Xenopus tropicalis: one gene and its partner. The protein of the gene in region 2 purifies or fractionates together with the protein of the main gene of each other region. This does not show direct contact. Links are inferred from orthologs where the notes say so. Each region holds a gene or a part of one and is shown on either strand. Other genes may lie near its edges. The genes, in order: cul4b and cops9.

Region 1 (9,356 bases), on a different chromosome or scaffold from region 2:
CTTTAGTCTTGCAAGCATTACCATGGCAAGCTACTTACACTTTTCTGAATACCAAATATACTACTTTCACTCATTTTCACTTTCATTTACTAAATAGAGCATGTCTCGCCTATTTTCACTTTCTATTTATCTAAGATTATTAATATATATTGGTAGAACTACGGAGTGCCAGAGGGTACAATTGCCTTCAAAATACCCCCAAAAGGAGGTTCCTGAGAAATGCAGAGTGTGGCAGAATTTCACTAGCGCAGACTGTAAAGAGCTTTAGCTTAAACTATTTGAATATATAAATAATAGTACAGGTATAGGACCCATTATCCAGAATGCTTGGGACCAAGGTAATTCTGGATAAGGGGTCTTTACCATAAGGTATGTTGCGGGCCACTAATCTCCCCACAATGCCATTCCGCCGGCAAGAATGTAAATTGCAGGTGGGATGGCTTATGAGTCGAGTAAAAAATCAAAATCACATTAATTAAACCCAATAGGATTAATTATATCTTAGTTGGGATCAAATACAAGGTACTGTGTTATTATTACAGATAAAAAGGAAATCAATTTTACAAATTTGAACTATTGGATTAAAATGGATTCTATGGGAGACAGGCTTTCTGTAATTCGGAGCTTTCTGGATAATGGGTTTCCGGATAAGGGATCCTATACCTGCACAGACATTTTAATCAATGATTTTATTTTTTAAAAACAATTTCCTTTTTCTCTGTAATAAGATATGATTAATCCTTAGCGGAAGCAAAACAATTCTATTGGTTTTAGTTAATGTTTAAAACATTTTTAGTACACTTAAGGAATGGTGATCTGGATAACAGGTCCCATACCTGTAATAGTCAATACATTTTTCTTATACCTGAAAACAGTGTTACTTTTGGAGAAGCCAAACTACTTTTGGTTAGCAGCATCTAACTTCGCTGTACCTAAAGGGAAACCACAGCACTACTACAAGAAGCAGAGGTCCTGCAAGGTCTGAAACGTATTTACCCACATTCTATGGAGAAGAAGCAACCGCGCAGTTAAACTTTCAAGAGAAAATGAATAACCTGGAAACTGATCACAATCAGTTCCTATAATACAGGAAGAGCAGCAGATATTGCACAGGGTGAGATTATAAGCCATAAAACAAGAGCATGAGCCGTTTTAATACATCTGTTTGAAATGCAAGGTAACCTGTGGAACTTTGAGCAACTTCACATGGGAAATTTACAGCAGCAACACATCATGTGTAACATCTTCTTACCCTGTACAGAGACCTGGCGACTGAAGCAAAAAGTAATTTATTTCACAGCACCTAGAGAGCAGTTTTCCAGTTCAGTTTTTTTTTAGCTGCAGTTGAAGTTAGAATTAGTTTCTGCTTCAGGCATCAACATTCCAAATATGTTAAAAAAAAAAAAAAAAAAAAAAAAAAAGGATGGATTAGTTTCATGGGCAAGCTCAGTCTCGATAACACCAAGTACTGTTTTATAGAGGATTATACACACAGGTACACTTTTGCTGGCTGATACTAGCTGTGATCTGCAGGTAATTATGTCCGCTCCAACTCACGTGGGTGCTACTAAATAATTCTTAGCAATTCACAGCTTGGCAAAAACACAACTGCAATGTTTTTAAGTGCTGAGTATAGCTGCAGGCATAATTAATAACTGGCTGTTATAGGCAGAATTTAAATAAAGCCAATGTCACAGCAGAGCCACCTGTGGTCCTAGTAAGTAGTGGAGATTGAGTAGGTTTCACCTGTTACTAGAACTCAGAGAGAAAGGGTTGTGTTGCAGATGATCCCACAGCATGTTACTTCTGACACCCTTAGCAAGCTAAACAGCTGCCTGTGTGTGTCCTAACATATCTGCCTTGCAGGTCATAGGGACAGTAGCCTCCCAAGGAATGAAGATGCTTCCTAGTCAGTTACAGAAGTGTCTCAATGGCATTGACAGGTGTACTTAATACATTTTTTTCCCATTACCCCAGAATAAAAAAACAACCACTCTATAAAAAGCCAGAAAAAAAAACGCAAGTATCCCTTGGTGCTGCAGAGGTTTGCCACTGCAAATACATAGACATACATAATACTCCTTTGTAAACAGTAAACAGTGTATTGTTGCTCTTTGTATCACCGTTTACCAATAAATGTGGCAATGCTCCTTTATACTGTATGAGCAGACAAGTTCTTTTGCCGAGAATTCCTTCATTTCTACTTCAAGCCTGTATATGAAACAGTACTACAATTTAGGTGTGCATTGTGTCTGTTTGATATAGGATTAGTTGTACTATTAGTATATCAGAAAAAATCACAAGCACTTAATACCAGTTGTACAAAAAAATGAAGAGGCTGGTAAGGTCTTTTGCCAAAACAGAGTAATTTTTTTTTTTTACATACAATTACTACTTTTTAAAGGCAAACTAACAGCACAATTTCCTGAGTTTCTACCTTATTTTAGCTGCATCAGCTAAACCTTTATATATAAATTTATTATGGGCATACCCAGGGCTGTATATTGGTCATGTGCCATCCTAGGCACCAGCCTAGTTTACCCCCCCCCCACTTAGCAACTGGTGCACATGCATTGCAGTTTGCATAATGCTCATGCACCAATAACTGATAGAAATTTCTTAGAAATTATTAAATTCCCCCACTTTGCACTAAGGCCTCTGGCACACGGGGAGATTAGTCGCCCGCGACAAATCTCCCTGTTCGCGGGCGACTAATCTCCCCGAAAATGTAAATCGCCAGTGGGATGGCATATGCGGCAGGGCAATTTCAGTGAAATCGCGGAAATTGCCTTGAGGAAACATCCGTGATTTCACTGAAATCGCGCCATCCCGATTTACATTTTCGCCGGTGGGATGGCATTTCGGGGAAATTAGTCGCCCGCGAACAGGGAGATTTGTCGCGGGCAACTAATCTCCCCATGTGCCAGAGCCCTAAAGAGATCAGGGCCAGAAGCCACATTGATACCACTAAACAATCTGTTTGCAAATGTCAACAAACACACTTCTGTGTGGGCCCAAAATGAACCAGCCTGACCTGATTCTGATTAGCCATGTTAGTAAATGGTGAATAGCCTCACAAATCTGTGTAAAGTGTTGCAGTTATCACCTTAACAGTTATTTAGCAGATTGTCTAAGGGCTCTGGCACATGGGGAAATTAGTCGCCCACAACAAAACTCCCTGTTCGCGGTCGACTAATCTCCCCAGATTGCCATCCCACCTGCGAAAATGTAAATCGCTGGCGGCGTGATTTCAGTGAAATTGCGCAAGTTGCCTCGAGAGGAAACCTGCGCGATTTCATTGAAATCGCGCCACCCCGTATGCCCGAGACACAGGTGGGATGGCATTTCAGGGAGATTAGTCGCGGGCGACTAATCTCCCCGTGTGCCAGAGCCCTAAGGGCAAGGATGCTTTCTGTTGATCTGAAACCATCCTACAAAAGCTCCCGTGTAGTTTAGTCCTGAATGTTGCTTCACTAACACCAGCATGATTTGTGTGTTGTGTGTAGACAAATGCCTAAAATAAACAGTGTTCACTTTCAAATTATTCTGGAAGTGGACATTGAAGAAAGATTTTCAGTGTTTTGGCACTGGTCCCATGAGATACTAAAAAAAAAAAAAAAAATGGCTTTGGCCAATGAGTCCCACAGGAATATTGACACTGCAGCTTAGATCGGTTGTGACAAAGATTTTTTTTTTAATAGAAAAGATTGCCTTTGCATTGAAGATATCCCTTAACTGTAGCGCTCTTAGTATTGACACACAGATCTGGTTGGGTCAAACAGGAATGCTTGTAACAAGCATCAAATCCCCTAAGTGCTCCAAAATATTGCGGATCCCTATAGAAAGAATCAAGCATTACCAGCTTAAAACACTTTGGCTTTATGCTGGTTAGGAGTGCATCAATACACAAGCCCTTAGAAGTCAAAACTGCCATTCCAGATAGATTCAACCATAATAAAATAACGCCAAAAGGAAACTGTAATTTTACCATCATGAAAAAACCAAACAGGCAAACGTTTGCCCCAAACTACTGGGTGACACAAGACAGCATGCTAGTTTCTGAATTCCAAATTAAAGGAGATTTTATTTTGACCAGAGCACCCTTGTAATCACCTGGTCCTTAAGCACATTCTGGTCAAAGTATTACACTCCCTGAAGTGACCTATCAAAGAGCTGATTGAATGGTGCCATCCCTCTTTACCTTTAAAGTTCTTGATGACTAACTTCTTGGCTGAGCCAGGCTTGCTGTTGGCAAAACTGGACACGGGTGAGGCTTTTGTGAGGCCATTGGCATGATGCCCAACGCCCACTGGGGAGATGAGCAGGTTTTTACTCCTCACTGCCTGGGGAGTAGAGGAGGATGAGCAGGAAGAAGAAGGAGACTCCTCGGCCATCTTCACATCGAGTCCTAGAAAGTCCAAAGTGTCTTCAAAACGCAGCTTCTTTTGGATGTGGTTAGAGGAGGAAGAGGAGTTTCTGGGGGGCGACAGGGGGTCCAAATCGTCCTTATCGCTGCTGCTGATATTCAACCTTCTCTTTTTGGAGGTGCTGTTTCCCTCAGTCCTTACCTCCTGCGCCGGGGGGTTGGGGGTTGATAAGCCTGTGGGAAACATGAAAACACCACAAATAGAAAAGATTCAAGGCAGCCCAGACTGTGTGTGACCGCTGGATCGTGTGGGGACCGCAACAAACAGCTAACGTGGCCCTTTGGTTAGCGCTTCCCAGTGGCCCCCTCGGCAGGCACTCTGCTTTAGTTCTGCTCGGTGAAGGCCCCGGCCCCGCTCTCCGGATATCCCCACTCTTTTTCTTGTTTATTGTCACAAGAGCAGGGAACCAAAGATGGCCTCACTTCCTCTCGCAGTGCATGTTGGGAAGAGTTCCCCAGGAGGCTGCCGTGAGCCCACACCCCTTCCCAGCCGGGACAGTCAGGGAGCCTTTGACGCCAGCTGCTGCCAAACTATCAAAACCAAAGGGGTAGCGCTTACTGCATTAACTATAGCGCGAAAGGCTGGCTGTGTTCCCTCTCTCCCCTCCCCTTTTTATTCTACTGTGATGTCATGGCAACCTTCGTACCTTGTTTTGACTGACCGGAAGGACTAGCGATGAGGTCTTTCATAATGCCCGACCGTGCGGGCCTCATCCGTCCCCTTTCTCCTCGCCGAGCTTCCGCCTTAGGTTGGTGCCGGCGAGGAGTCCCGACAAGGGGAAGGAAGGGGCTGAGGCTGGAAACTACTCGAGGGGGAGGAGTCGAGGGTTGAATATTCCCGCCTCTGTAGTGACGCCTAAAGGGAATAAGGACCAATAATCAGCTTGGTTTGGGTGACATTTCCCCCTGATGCCTCCACATGGTACCGCCTGTTCAGCAGCGTGGGGGCCGGAGAGGCTTAGAATAGTTACATAAAGGAGAGCGCCAGTAGTTGCGTGTGACGCTTCCCGCTTAAAATGAGTTCCTTGTGGAAGCTCCTCAGTAACTACTCAGTACTACTACTCAGTAAGCGTCAAACATGAAGTTTGTGTCTGAAAGCAATGTATAATGGCGTGTATAGCAGGGATGAAAAGTACATATATTAACCCCACTATTCATTTAAGTGCCAGATTAAAATAAACTTATATCATACAAAGTGGTCAATTTGGGTGATATAATAATCTCTGGGAGAGTAAGGCTTCCCATTGGATTACGCAGCTGTATACCAGATTCTGACTGAAAGCAATGGCTGAATGTGTTTTTTTTTTATAAAGCAGCTATTCTGGGTTCTCTATGTGCTTGTGAGCCTGCATACAAGTTATAACACCAGCAAAAACAACACATGTTAAGCACACCAAAAGGTGTATGCTCATACTTAGTTTCAGCACTTGACCCTATTCAATTGTTTTTTTTTTTTAACAGATATGCAAGCACTGGTCACTGCATAAAGCACTTATGAATCATCTGGTAAAGCTTAATAGAGATGTTACATATAACTAAATAACTAATTTGGGTTGACAAAAGCCCAAAGCCTATCAAGTTCAACATCTCTAAAAACCCCAGTGCACAAAAATACACATACCTATATAGACCAATCTATACACTTACAAATATAAACTATATATACCCAAATAATGTTGAAGCTAGGTGTTTGTAGAACTCACGGGCGTTGCTGCCATGAGGCGAGTTGAGAAACTCACATTAGGCTGTATTGCCTGGCAAGTTACTGGAGGCGGCAAAAAGCCCCTTCAGGTAACTTAAAGAGCCTTGTGTATACTTTAATGCTCATTGTAGATTGTAAGCTCTTTTGGGCAGGGCCCTCTTCACCTCTTGTATCCGTTATTGATTGCTTTATATGTTACTCTGTATGTCCAATGTATGAAACCCACTTATTGTACAGCGCTGCGGAATATGTTGGCGCTTTATAAATAAATGTTAATAATAATAATTTTGGCTACTGGTAGCTTATAGCCCTGCCTACTTCAAACTGGGCTACAAAATTTCACAAGAGCTAACACACAAGTATGCTGTATGAGAAGTTACCAATTGATATAGATGACAATAAGCTCTACATGGCAGGGACCCACTTCCCTACTGTGTCTTGTACCACATAGTACTTAATTGCTGGATATTTACAATAATGCTTGTTCTCCCTGGTTGTACTTTTCTGTATTGTAAAATTGTACGGCACTGCGTATCCTAGTATGGCTATATAAACTTATACGTATATGCCCCAATGTAATTAATTTGATGATGGGGCACTTGTAGCCTCATCTTGCTCCATCCTATACTGTTCACTCCCCCTGCCAAGTGCCTCTGGCATCTTCCTGCACTCCTGTCCAGTTTCCAGAGTAAATGTGGCTTGGGAAGCATGCTGCCCTTAAAAGCATGCTGCCCTTAAAATCATGCTGCCCTTAAAATCATGCTGCCCTAGGTCCAGAACTTTTTTTAGTTTTGGATTGCAAATACTGAATTTTACTTATCTCCTGTATCCACAGTCATCTCTGCATGACTGATGAACATGATCATCTGGCACCATAAAATTTTGCGGGTTCTGCTGACCTCTTCATTCAGTGAATATTATGTAAAACTGTTTGTAACAGTTCTGTTAGACATTGTTGAAAACAACAATTCTAGGGTATTCACATTTGTATTCATTCAGTTTAAAGTGAAACAAAAATAAAAAAATAATTGGGGCAGATTTATCAAAGTGTAAAATGATATAGCTCACCACAGAAAAATTCACCCACTTTCTATTCATTCATACGGGTTTTTTAGAAGTTTGTTTATCAATGGCTGAAAGTTGGAGTTCATCATTTGATAAATTTGCTTATAAAAATCCCATAGGAATAAAAAGAAAATGGGTGAATATTTCTACGTTGAGTCTGGCGTGTTTTGACCCGTGGACTTCCTCAAAGGCTTCAACTAAACGTTAATCCCATGAAAGTTACACATCCTATAACTGAACATTTTATTGCTGTGGGAGAACCTATTGCCAGCCATTTTTAAAGCTTACTGCTAAATACTTCTAAGAGTGCAGTGTCACACAGGGTGTGTTAAATTTACCCCAACTGCGACACTATTTTTTATATTTCTATTTTACCTTTTCTTTTGTCTATCCCCGTGTTCTTAGCAATGGTTATTTCCTATAAAAAAGAGTGATGTAGAATTGTAATTCATGGCTATAGAAGTGGCTTTGGTTCCTTAGACTACTTTATGCAATATTTGTTTCTACATGCAAAGATGTCACTGTCACTTTAAACACAACTTTTTAATTTCTAGTTCCTGTTCCTTGTAGAATGTGGCTGCAGCCCTGCAGAATAAATCTTCAGTCATTTCCCATGACTATTAGAAAACTAACATTGTTTTGAGAGATGAGCTGCACAAACTGCAGCCTTCCAACGAAACAAAACATTTTTTTGTTTCAAAACAATTGCGTTGCTTTTCATTGCTAGTCAGTTTTCAGACTGTACAGTTGGGGAGAAATGTTCAGAAAGAAGCAAAGATGTTTCTCTGCTCACAAAAGACATAAGAAGTTATTTGAGGTTTCTGATCTCTTATAAACAGGGCAACATCTGAACAGTTGTCTCTTTTCCTTCTGAACATTCCTCTCTGAAAGAGTGCAGTCTAAAAACTGACCAGCAAGTGGCAAAGTTGTAATACACTTTATTATATAAGCAGTTTAACACCGGTTTAATTGCTTGAAAGAGCGTTCTGAGCTATTTTACATTAATATTTTTAAGGTATACATTTTCTTTAAAACCGCTGACCTTGCAAATGTGCATCCAATGAAATAAAGGTGACCATACACTGCAGATTTAAGCTGCCAATTTGAGTCTTTCAGGCCAAATCAGCTGCTTATCTGCCTGTGTATGGGAAGCCTTGACAGGCCTCCCTGACCGAAATCAAACAACCTCACCAAACAAGCGGATCTTAACGTGTATGGCCACCTTTAGATCTTGTTCACTACTGGTGAAACTACTATATAATAAAAATATCAGGCAAATGCTGTGACTTATGTTTTTAATTTATTACAGTCCACTTATAAACCATTTTGTTAAAGTGGAACTCCTTTGAGACTCAAAAAAAATGTAACAGTAGTCGACTGTCCTCAGCCTGTATCCTCCAAATCCCCTGCAGACGTAATGTCAATAAGGAAAGAAACATTGCAGTGCAATGCATTGTGGGTTATGTTGTTCCTGCATGCTGTCTGTAAGCCATGGAAATGTTGTTACAATTTGTAACATCAATGTTTTAGTCCCTCCTCCCTTTAAATTATGCAGAAAGAGGACTGTTTTGCAGGTGGATTTTAGCATATAAAAGGGTATTTATTGATACTTTTTGAAGGAACAGGTTACAGTGATAGGTATATTAGGGGTGTCTGTGTTTGACTCTTTAACAAATTTTGGTTCAGAAGACGGAGTTTCCCTTTAACAGCAGTACAATGTTATCTTTTCACCAAGACTATGTGCTCAGACTGACTGATCTTAATGAAAACACCTTATGCAGGGTAGAAGTGCTTAGGATTCACTCTACACAGGTCTTCAAATTTTTTGTCCATATTAGCTCAAATATCCAACAAAAAGCAAAGCACTAACAGGCGTGTAAGTACAGTGATAGCAGAGCCTGTGACAGCTGGGGAATAGTGGGGACGCCTAATAGCTTTGTGTATTTATTACAAAGAATCCCATAAATTCAGTTTTTGAGCCGAGTAATTTCCATTTATGCCACTTGCCCCTCACCCAGGCATCTAAGGAGTAAATAAGAATTCGTTCCCATAGTTCTGCCTAACATTCAGCATGGTCCCTTCCATTGTTTTGGAGGCCCTGGGGAGAGACAACCCTATAGTTTCAGAGCAGCCTTCATATGTAGAATTCTATCTGTGATCATA
Region 2 (9,290 bases):
TAATATGAGTAGTTTTTTGGTGTCAGTATCACTTTAAGCTTTATTGCAGACTACCTTACACAACATGTTTCGGGCCTTGTGTGCTCTCTCAAGTCTTGTTGCCTTTCAGGCAGTGCACTTGAATTCCACCTCTTTCCACTTTCCATTAAATTGCCAATATCAGGCCGCAGTTTCAGCTTATACAAATAAAATATTAGCAGTTTAGCACAAGTATTTACAACCGAAACAAGATTTCACTAGGACATTTTATTTACAGCTATAAATACAAAAAAATTATACATTTTCCCATAGATGGGGCACAAGCAGTGAGAGGCATTTCACAGTAAACAGTCTGGGATATTACTGGATATCCTCATCATCAAAGAGATCTTCAAAATCTGAAAGAAAGGGCATAAATAAAGTCTTTTGGTTGTTCTGTTGCGCCAATGTGGCATTAGAAAACTACACCGGCCTTACAAATGTACACTCACCATTAAAGAAATCTGCATGCACCGCCTTTTCATTTGCTGCCAAATCCATTAAAAGGCCTGTACTTCCGCCTGCCTGTAAGGGGAAAATAAACAGAGACTACTGAATTAAACTGTATGCTGCCGTAAGTATGGAATCTCACTAGTAACTTGGCATGGATTTGGGAGATTTTTCTTAGGTGAAAGTGACATGATTTGATAAGCGATTGGATATGAGGAGTGAAGGACAGGGCAGAATCAAGGATAACCCCAAGGGCCTGGGAAGATGGGGTAATGGTAGAATTGATACCTCGGGAACAATGTGGGCGTTGGATGGGGGAAAGAGAACCAGTTCAGTTTTAGAGAGGTTTAATTTAAGGTAACGTTGGGACATCCAAGTGGAGATAGCGGACAGGCAGGAAGAGACGCAAGTTTGAAGCTCTGGGTTGAGATCAGGAGAGGAAAGATAGATCTGAGTATCGTCAGCATAGAGGTGGTACTGAAAGCCAAAAGAACTGATTAGTTTGCCAAGTGAGGAGGTATAGAGAGAAAATATTAAGGGGCCCAGGACAGAGCCTTGAGGAACCCCGAAAGAAAGAGGCAAGGGAGAAGATGATTCCCCATTGTAAGAGACACTGAAGGATCGATCTGAGAGATAAGATGAAAACCAGGATAAGGCAGTGTCACGAAGGCCAAGAGAGCGGAGAGTCTGGAGGAGAAGAGGGTGATCCACAGTGTCAAAAGCAGCAGAGAGATCGAGAAGTATTAGTAGCGAGTAGTGTTTTTTGGCTTTAGCCGAAAGGAGGTCATTTGTTAGTCGGGTTAGAGCAGTTTCAGATCTCTATGCACTAACCTGCTCCATGTTTCTGGCCCTGTGGGATCTCTATGCACTAACCTGCTCCTTGTCTCTGGCCCTGTGGGATCTCTATGCACTAACCTGCTCCATGTTTGTGTCTCTGTGGGATCTCTATGCACTAACCTGCTCCATGTTTCTGGCCCTGTGGGATCTCTATGCACTAACCTGCTCCTTGTCTCTGGCCCTGTGGGATCTCTATGCACTAACCTGCTCCATGTTTGTGTCTCTGTGGGATCTCTATGCACTAACCTGCTCCATGTCTCTGGCCCTGTGGGATCTCTATGCACTAACCTGCTCCATGTTTGTGTCTCTGTGGGATCTCTATGCACTAACCTGCTCCATGTTTCTGGCCCTGTGGGATCTCTATGCACTAACCTGCTCCATGTCTCTGGCCCTGTGGGATCTCTATGCACTAACCTGCTCCATGTTTGTGTCTCTGTGGGATCTCTATGCACTAACCTGCTCCATGTTTCTGGCCCTGTGGGATCTCTATGCACTAACCTGCTCCATGTCTCTAGCCCTGTGGGATCTCTATGCACTAACTTGCTCCATGTCTCTGGCCCTGTGGGATCTCTATGCACTAACCTGCTCCATGTCTCTGGCCCTGTGGGATCTCTATGCACTAACCTGCTCCATGTCTCTGGCCCTGTGGGATCTCTATGCACTAACCTGCTCCATGTTTCTGGCCCTGTGGGATCTCTATGCACTAACCTGCTCCATCCCTCTGGCCCTGTGGGATCTCTATGCACTAACCTGCTCCATGTTTCTGGCCCTGTGGGATCTCTATGCACTAACCTGCTCCATCCCTCTGGCCCTGTGGGATCTCTATGCACTAACCTGCTCCATCCCTCTGGCCCTGTGGGATCTCTATGCACTAACCTGCTCCATGTTTGTGTCTCTGTGGGATCTCTATGCACTAACCTGCTCCATGTCTCTGGCCCTGTGGGATCTCTATGCACTAACCTGCTCCATGTTTGTGTCTCTGTGGGATCTCTATGCACTAACCTGCTCCATGTTTCTGGCCCTGTGGGATCTCTATGCACTAACCTGCTCCATGTCTCTGGCCCTGTGGGATCTCTATGCACTAACCTGCTCCATGTTTGTGTCTCTGTGGGATCTCTATGCACTAACCTGCTCCATGTTTCTGGCCCTGTGGATCTCTATGCACTAACCTGCTCCATGTCTCTAGCCCTGTGGGATCTCTATGCACTAACTTGCTCCATGTCTCTGGCCCTGTGGGATCTCTATGCACTAACCTGCTCCATGTCTCTGGCCCTGTGGGATCTCTATGCACTAACCTGCTCCATGTCTCTGGCCCTGTGGGATCTCTATGCACTAACCTGCTCCATGTTTCTGGCCCTGTGGGATCTCTATGCACTAACCTGCTCCATCCCTCTGGCCCTGTGGGATCTCTATGCACTAACCTGCTCCATGTTTCTGGCCCTGTGGGATCTCTATGCACTAACCTGCTCCATCCCTCTGGCCCTGTGGGATCTCTATGCACTAACCTGCTCCATGTTTCTGGCCCTGTGGGATCTCTATGCACTAACCTGCTCCATCCCTCTGGCCCTGTGGGATCTCTATGCACTAACCTGCTCCATCCCTCTGGCCCTGTGGGATCTCTATGCACTAACCTGCTCCATGTTTCTGGCCCTGTGGGATCTCTATGCACTAACCTGCTCCATGTTTCTGGCCCTGTGGGATCTCTATGCACTAACCTGCTCCATGTTACTGGCCCTGTGGGATCTCTATGCACTAACCTGCTCCATGTTTCTGGCCCTGTGGGATCTCTATGCACTAACCTGCTCCATGTTACTGGCCCTGTGGGATCTCTATGCACTAACCTGCTCCATGTTTCTGGCCCTGTGGGATCTCTATGCACTAACCTGCTCCATGTCTCTGGCCCTGTGGGATCTCTATGCACTAACCTGCTCCATGTCTCTGGCCCTGTGGGATCTCTATGCACTAACCTGCTCCATGTCTCTGGCCCTGTGGGATCTCTATGCACTAACCTGCTCCATGTCTCTGGCCCTGTGGGATCTCTATGCACTAACCTGCTCCATGTCTCTGGCCCTGTGGGATCTCTATGCACTAACCTGCTCCATGTTTCTGGCCCTGTGGGATCTCTATGCACTAACCTGCTCCATCCCTCTGGCCCTGTGGGATCTCTATGCACTAACCTGCTCCATGTTTCTGGCCCTGTGGGATCTCTATGCACTAACCTGCTCCATCCCTCTGGCCCTGTGGGATCTCTATGCACTAACCTGCTCCATCCCTCTGGCCCTGTGGGATCTCTATGCACTAACCTGCTCCATGTTTCTGGCCCTGTGGGATCTCTATGCACTAACCTGCTCCATCCCTCTGGCCCTGTGGGATCTCTATGCACTAACCTGCTCCATCCCTCTGGCCCTGTGGGATCTCTATGCACTAACCTGCTCCATGTTTCTGGCCCTGTGGGATCTCTATGCACTAACCTGCTCCATGTTTCTGGCCCTGTGGGATCTCTATGCACTAACCTGCTCCATGTTACTGGCCCTGTGGGATCTCTATGCACTAACCTGCTCCATGTTTCTGGCCCTGTGGGATCTCTATGCACTAACCTGCTCCATGTTACTGGCCCTGTGGGATCTCTATGCACTAACCTGCTCCATGTTTCTGGCCCTGTGGGATCTCTATGCACTAACCTGCTCCATGTCTCTGGCCCTGTGGGATCTCTATGCACTAACCTGCTCCATGTCTCTGGCCCTGTGGGATCTCTATGCACTAACCTGCTCCATGTCTCTGGCCCTGTGGGATCTCTATGCACTAACCTGCTCCATGTCTCTGGCCCTGTGGGATCTCTATGCACTAACCTGCTCCATGTCTCTGGCCCTGTGGGATCTCTATGCACTAACCTGCTCCATGTCTCTGGCCCTGTGGGATCTCTATGCACTAACCTGCTCCATGTCTCTGGCCCTGTGGGATCTCTATGCACTAACCTGCTCCATGTCTCTGGCCCTGTGGGATCTCTATGCACTAACCTGCTCCATGTTTCTGGCCCTGTGGGATCTCTATGCACTAACCTGCTCCATGTCTCTGGCCCTGTGGGATCTCTATGCACTAACCTGCTCCATGTCTCTGGCCCTGTGGGATCTCTATGCACTAACCTGCTCCATGTTACTGGCCCTGTGGGATCTCTATGCACTAACCTGCTCCATGTCTCTGGCCCTGTGGGATCTCTATGCACTAACCTGCTCCATGTTTCTGGCCCTGTGGGATCTCTATGCACTAACCTGCTCCATGTCTCTGGCCCTGTGGGATCTCTATGCACTAACCTGCTCCATGTCTCTGGCCCTGTGGGATCTCTATGCACTAACCTGCTCCATGTCTCTGGCCCTGTGGGATCTCTATGCACTAACCTGCTCCATGTTTCTGGCCCTGTGGGATCTCTATGCACTAACCTGCTCCATGTCTCTGGCCCTGTGGGATCTCTATGCACTAACCTGCTCCATGTTTCTGGCCCTGTGGGATCTCTATGCACTAACCTGCTCCATGTCTCTGGCCCTGTGGGATCTCTATGCACTAACCTGCTCCATCCCTCTGGCCCTGTGGGATCTCTATGCACTAACCTGCTCCATGTTTCTGGCCCTGTGGGATCTCTATGCACTAACCTGCTCCATGTCTCTGGCCCTGTGGGATCTCTATGCACTAACCTGCTCCATGTTTCTGGCCCTGTGGGATCTCTATGCACTAACCTGCTCCATGTCTCTGGCCCTGTGGGATCTCTATGCACTAACCTGCTCCATCCCTCTGGCCCTGTGGGATCTCTATGCACTAACCTGCTCCATGTCTCTGGCCCTGTGGGATCTCTATGCACTAACCTGCTCCATGTTTCTGGCCCTGTGGGATCTCTATGCACTAACCTGCTCCATGTTTCTGGCCCTGTGGGATCTCTATGCACTAACCTGCTCCATGTCTCTGGCCCTGTGGGATCTCTATGCACTAACCTGCTCCATGTTTCTGGCTCCATGTTTCCTCCTGTGGGCCAGAGACATGGAGCATTTGTGCATTTGGATTTTTTGCGCACAAAAAGCCGATTTCTGATCAAGCGCATAAGTCTATGAAGTCAATTGCTATATGGGTTCTTCCCCGTACTAAATGATATCATAATCACAGTTTGTGTACCCACATAAAGCTATTCACACTAACACCGCGCACATCTTTATGGTCCTACAAACGCACTCACTAAAAATCTGCGCTATTTGTACTCCGCCACAAGCCCCTAGCGGGATAGTAATGCGCACTGCCGCTCCTACGTCACCTCATCTAAATCCACATAAGGGCCAGCTCCCTCTGGGAACATCTCGTCCACAGCCGGCTTCATTTCGCCACTTCCACTGTAGCAGTAGTTTAGTAGAACCGCTCACTGCCGGACGGTACAGCGCACAGGCTTATACACGCACACCACGTGATGTGACGTACGTGACGCTAGTAGGGCGGAAGTGACAGAGAGGGACGGGGAAGCGCAATAAGCGGGTTGGCGAGTTCTACTAGGCAGGGAAGGCGGTAGCGCAGTGGGTGGATTTGACTTGTGTTGGTGGAAGGCTGTGTATAGAAGTGACTCACTGCATGTGTGAATATAAAACAATATGAATGCCCTGTCTGCTTTTCTGTCTGGTGAAAGGGTTTACCTTATAATTTCTCTCTTTGGGTAGGATCCCCGTTTGCTTACACTGGGCTAGCCGGCAGCCGTAGGCTTTAGACAGACTTTCCTATGGATGTGCTAAATGGCACCTGGAGTGTAAAAAATATAGTATAAACTGGCACTGTACAAAATATGTCTCATAAGCTGATATTGAACTACCGTTTGGGTGACACAGCTCTCATTTTCTATGATGTTATTGGGCATTCACCCCATGCATCTATGGATCCTTAGCTGTGTGGGAAAATACACAATATGCATAGTCATATAGTAATTCACTAATAGGTTGCTCAGCTTACACATAAAGCGTTCCATAGCAGGAAGCTAGTTACCTCTTGTTCCTGGCAGCTCTGTTGGTTACACTTACAGCCTTCCTTCCTTACACAAAAAACTGGCCATAACCTAGGTTTATTTTGATTATAGTGCCTATCTTAGTGGGTATAGGTGTCAGCCTTTGTAGGGTAGGAGGGGTGTATTGATAGACTATTTCACTATTTTACCAGATTACAGTGACTTCAGTACATTCATTGTGACCTGCTAAATATTAATATTGTCCTTCAGGGACCACTATATCATAAAGGAGGGCCAGAGGGGCATTCCCATGTTCCCTGCATCATAATTGTTAGTTAAGGCTGTTTTGTGGCTTGTGAAACAACTGTATTTCCTCAGTTGCTGGTATAAAGAGGACTGCTGTGTTTTTTTAGTATCAGAAAATAAATTTACCCTTGCCCAAAGGGCAACAATAAATTGTTGATAGACCTGGATTAAGTCTAAAATAGGCTACACTACCCAGGATTTGGCTTAGAATTAATGGTTTTTATTTATTTTTAAAATTTTAGATCTGTGATATTAAAGGGGACCTGTCACCTTAAGAAATAATTCTAAATTGTTTTCTATTGTGTTTGTCAAGCAAAGTAAACTTTACTTACACCATATAAATTATTCAAATCTTATTTTCTTCAGTATTGGAATTTACAATTGCAGCAAGTAGGCAGGGGCCATTTTGTGGTGTTTTGTTATCAAAGCAGGCATTGCATCCTGCTAAAATCTTATTTCTGTGCCAGTGTGGGGGGAACCCGATGCCCATATCCATGCACTGGTTACAAAATTACATGGTTAGGAAGGAGGAGGAATGTGAGGAGGGCAGCAACATCTAAGAAGTTCTGAATTCAAAGTGAAAGTAACTGGCAATATATGATTGACAGCTGGGATTCTTAAATGCTTTTATAATGGGTATGGATGTGGTAATAAACAAATGATTTTGGGTTTCATGTTTAATTTGAAAAGGGTTTTTATTATACAGCTTTTCATGTCTGGGTGACAGGTCCACTTTAATGCAAAGGGAAGTTTTACTGTATGAAAGGGGACCATGGCTGGCGATTTATACTTAATAGCAAAAGCGTCCATTTTTTTTAGTCCTAACAGGTTAGAAACCCAGGTTTATAATTAAATACTTATATTTTGTTTACACTATTCCTTTAAAGAGTTATTTCATAATTAATTCAACTTTTAGTATATTATAGAATGGTCTATTTTTAGCAACTTAATTTGGCTTAAAAATTGTCTCCTTCTGCTGCATCTTGACAAACTTCAGACAGGAGTCACTGACAGATGCACATGTGATACAGTGTGTAGCTCTACATGTCAGCATACATTTGTGTCTTAACCGTGTAGATTCATTCTTTGTTCTCGCCTTTCAATAAACTGGGTGATATGTTTCCAAGTGTCCTTGATAAGCAACAGCAACAAATCCATTATTTTATTTAAAAATGAGTCAGCCCAAAGAATAACAATTTCTTAAAGGAGACATATTGGATAAATGGGAAAACCCTAATTTTGTAGGCAATTATGAATAATATACGGTGCTGGTTTCCATTTGTGCTCAAAATTAATCCTATCGATAACAATGGCCCCTTTATTGGAGCTCCCTATAGATCCTCTCACTTCTCCGTCCAGTGTGAAATGAAGAGTGGGCGTGTCCTAACGGTCCCTGCCAGAAACACAGTAGGAGGGGGATAGCCAATCACAGCCCTGTACTCACACAAGCAAAGACAGGCTTCTGTTCCCTATCAGGTCAGCCTAGCTGCTGATTGGTTCCTATCCTACAGTGCAGTGTACTGAGGGCCGCCGGCCCCCCAGCTCATCCAGAGAATTCAGCCAGCAGGAAGTGGAACAGATGGGCGGGGCTAGTGGGGTCTTTGTGGAATTTCTCAATAAATCAGTCTGAAACACAACTTTTTAAGCACAATCCTTCTATATCTAGAGGAGTATAATTCACTGGTACATTCATAATTTTTTATAGGATATGTCTCCTTTAATTATATGCTTGATCTGAGAAAATTGAGAGAATATGAGAGGGAACCTCAGGGGTGGGTTGGTTATTACCATATTTCTGATCAACAGTCTTAATAGATAAACCTGGCCAACCTATACAAATTCATTAACGTTGGAAAAAATACACTTTAATTTAAGGAATACTAGTATAAGGGCTCTGGCACACGGGGAGATTAGTCGCCCGCGACAAATCTTCCTTGACGCAGGCGACTAATCTCCCCAAAATGTCATCCCACTGGCGAAAATGTAAATCGCCGTGGATGGCATACGCGGCACCGCAATTTCCCTGAGTCGCGGAAGTTGCCTTGAGAGGAGATTTGTCGCAGGCAGGAAGAAATCTGTCTGTGTCAGGAAATAATAGGCATGGATTATATTGATATTCTTATATATTAGATGATTTTATCACTGAGATATTGACCACAGGGTGGGGGGGGGGTAACTATTATTCTAAGCCTTTTAGGACATTGTCAGACAAGGCAATTTTTACTTGCTCCATTGCTGACTTAGTTGTCTCAAGGCCTTAAATGAAGTGGAGATGCCACAGTTGCCTGACAAGCAGTTTCATACCAGGCCATGGAAATGACTACAAACACTAAATCACCATAAGGCCAGGGACAAACAAGATTAGTTGCCCCACACTTAAACTCCTGTAGGTGACAAACCTCTGACTAATGTAAATCGCCAATGGAAAAACATGGGGGGGTTTATTAAAATTTGTATTTTTATGGTTTTATAGTTTTTGTAAACCATGACTAAACCCATTTCACAATTGTGAGTAATTTATCAAAAGTTTCTCTAATTGACAAAGCACAAATGAAAAAAGACATGGAAGATGTGCAAAATTGTGACTTTTTCGTTTGCTGAATGAAAACCCAACTTTTTTGTTTTGTATAAAAGCCAGCATAAAAAACCCAGCAAAACTCTAAAATCATGAAGCAAACAAAGATCAGTTGTAAAAGGGACATCTACCATT

Evidence for each region.
Region 1: the proteins of cops9 (region 2) and cul4b purify together in Homo sapiens (affinity purification with mass spectrometry; 3 studies listed by BioGRID and IntAct, with this or other methods). This does not show direct contact. The link is inferred for Xenopus tropicalis from reciprocal best matches to the Homo sapiens genes COPS9 and CUL4B.

The regions. Positions count from the first base shown.
Region 1 is NC_030684.2:46,089,671-46,099,026, forward strand, and holds the start of cul4b (cullin-4B), read right to left. Parts: upstream 4,806-9,356; 5' UTR 4,614-4,805; coding exon 4,202-4,613; intron 1-4,201.
Region 2 is NC_030681.2:127,440,299-127,449,588, reverse strand, and holds cops9 (COP9 signalosome complex subunit 9), read right to left. Parts: upstream 5,757-9,290; 5' UTR 5,666-5,756; coding exon 5,603-5,665; intron 544-5,602; coding exon 471-543; intron 378-470; coding exon 340-377; 3' UTR 13-339; downstream 1-12.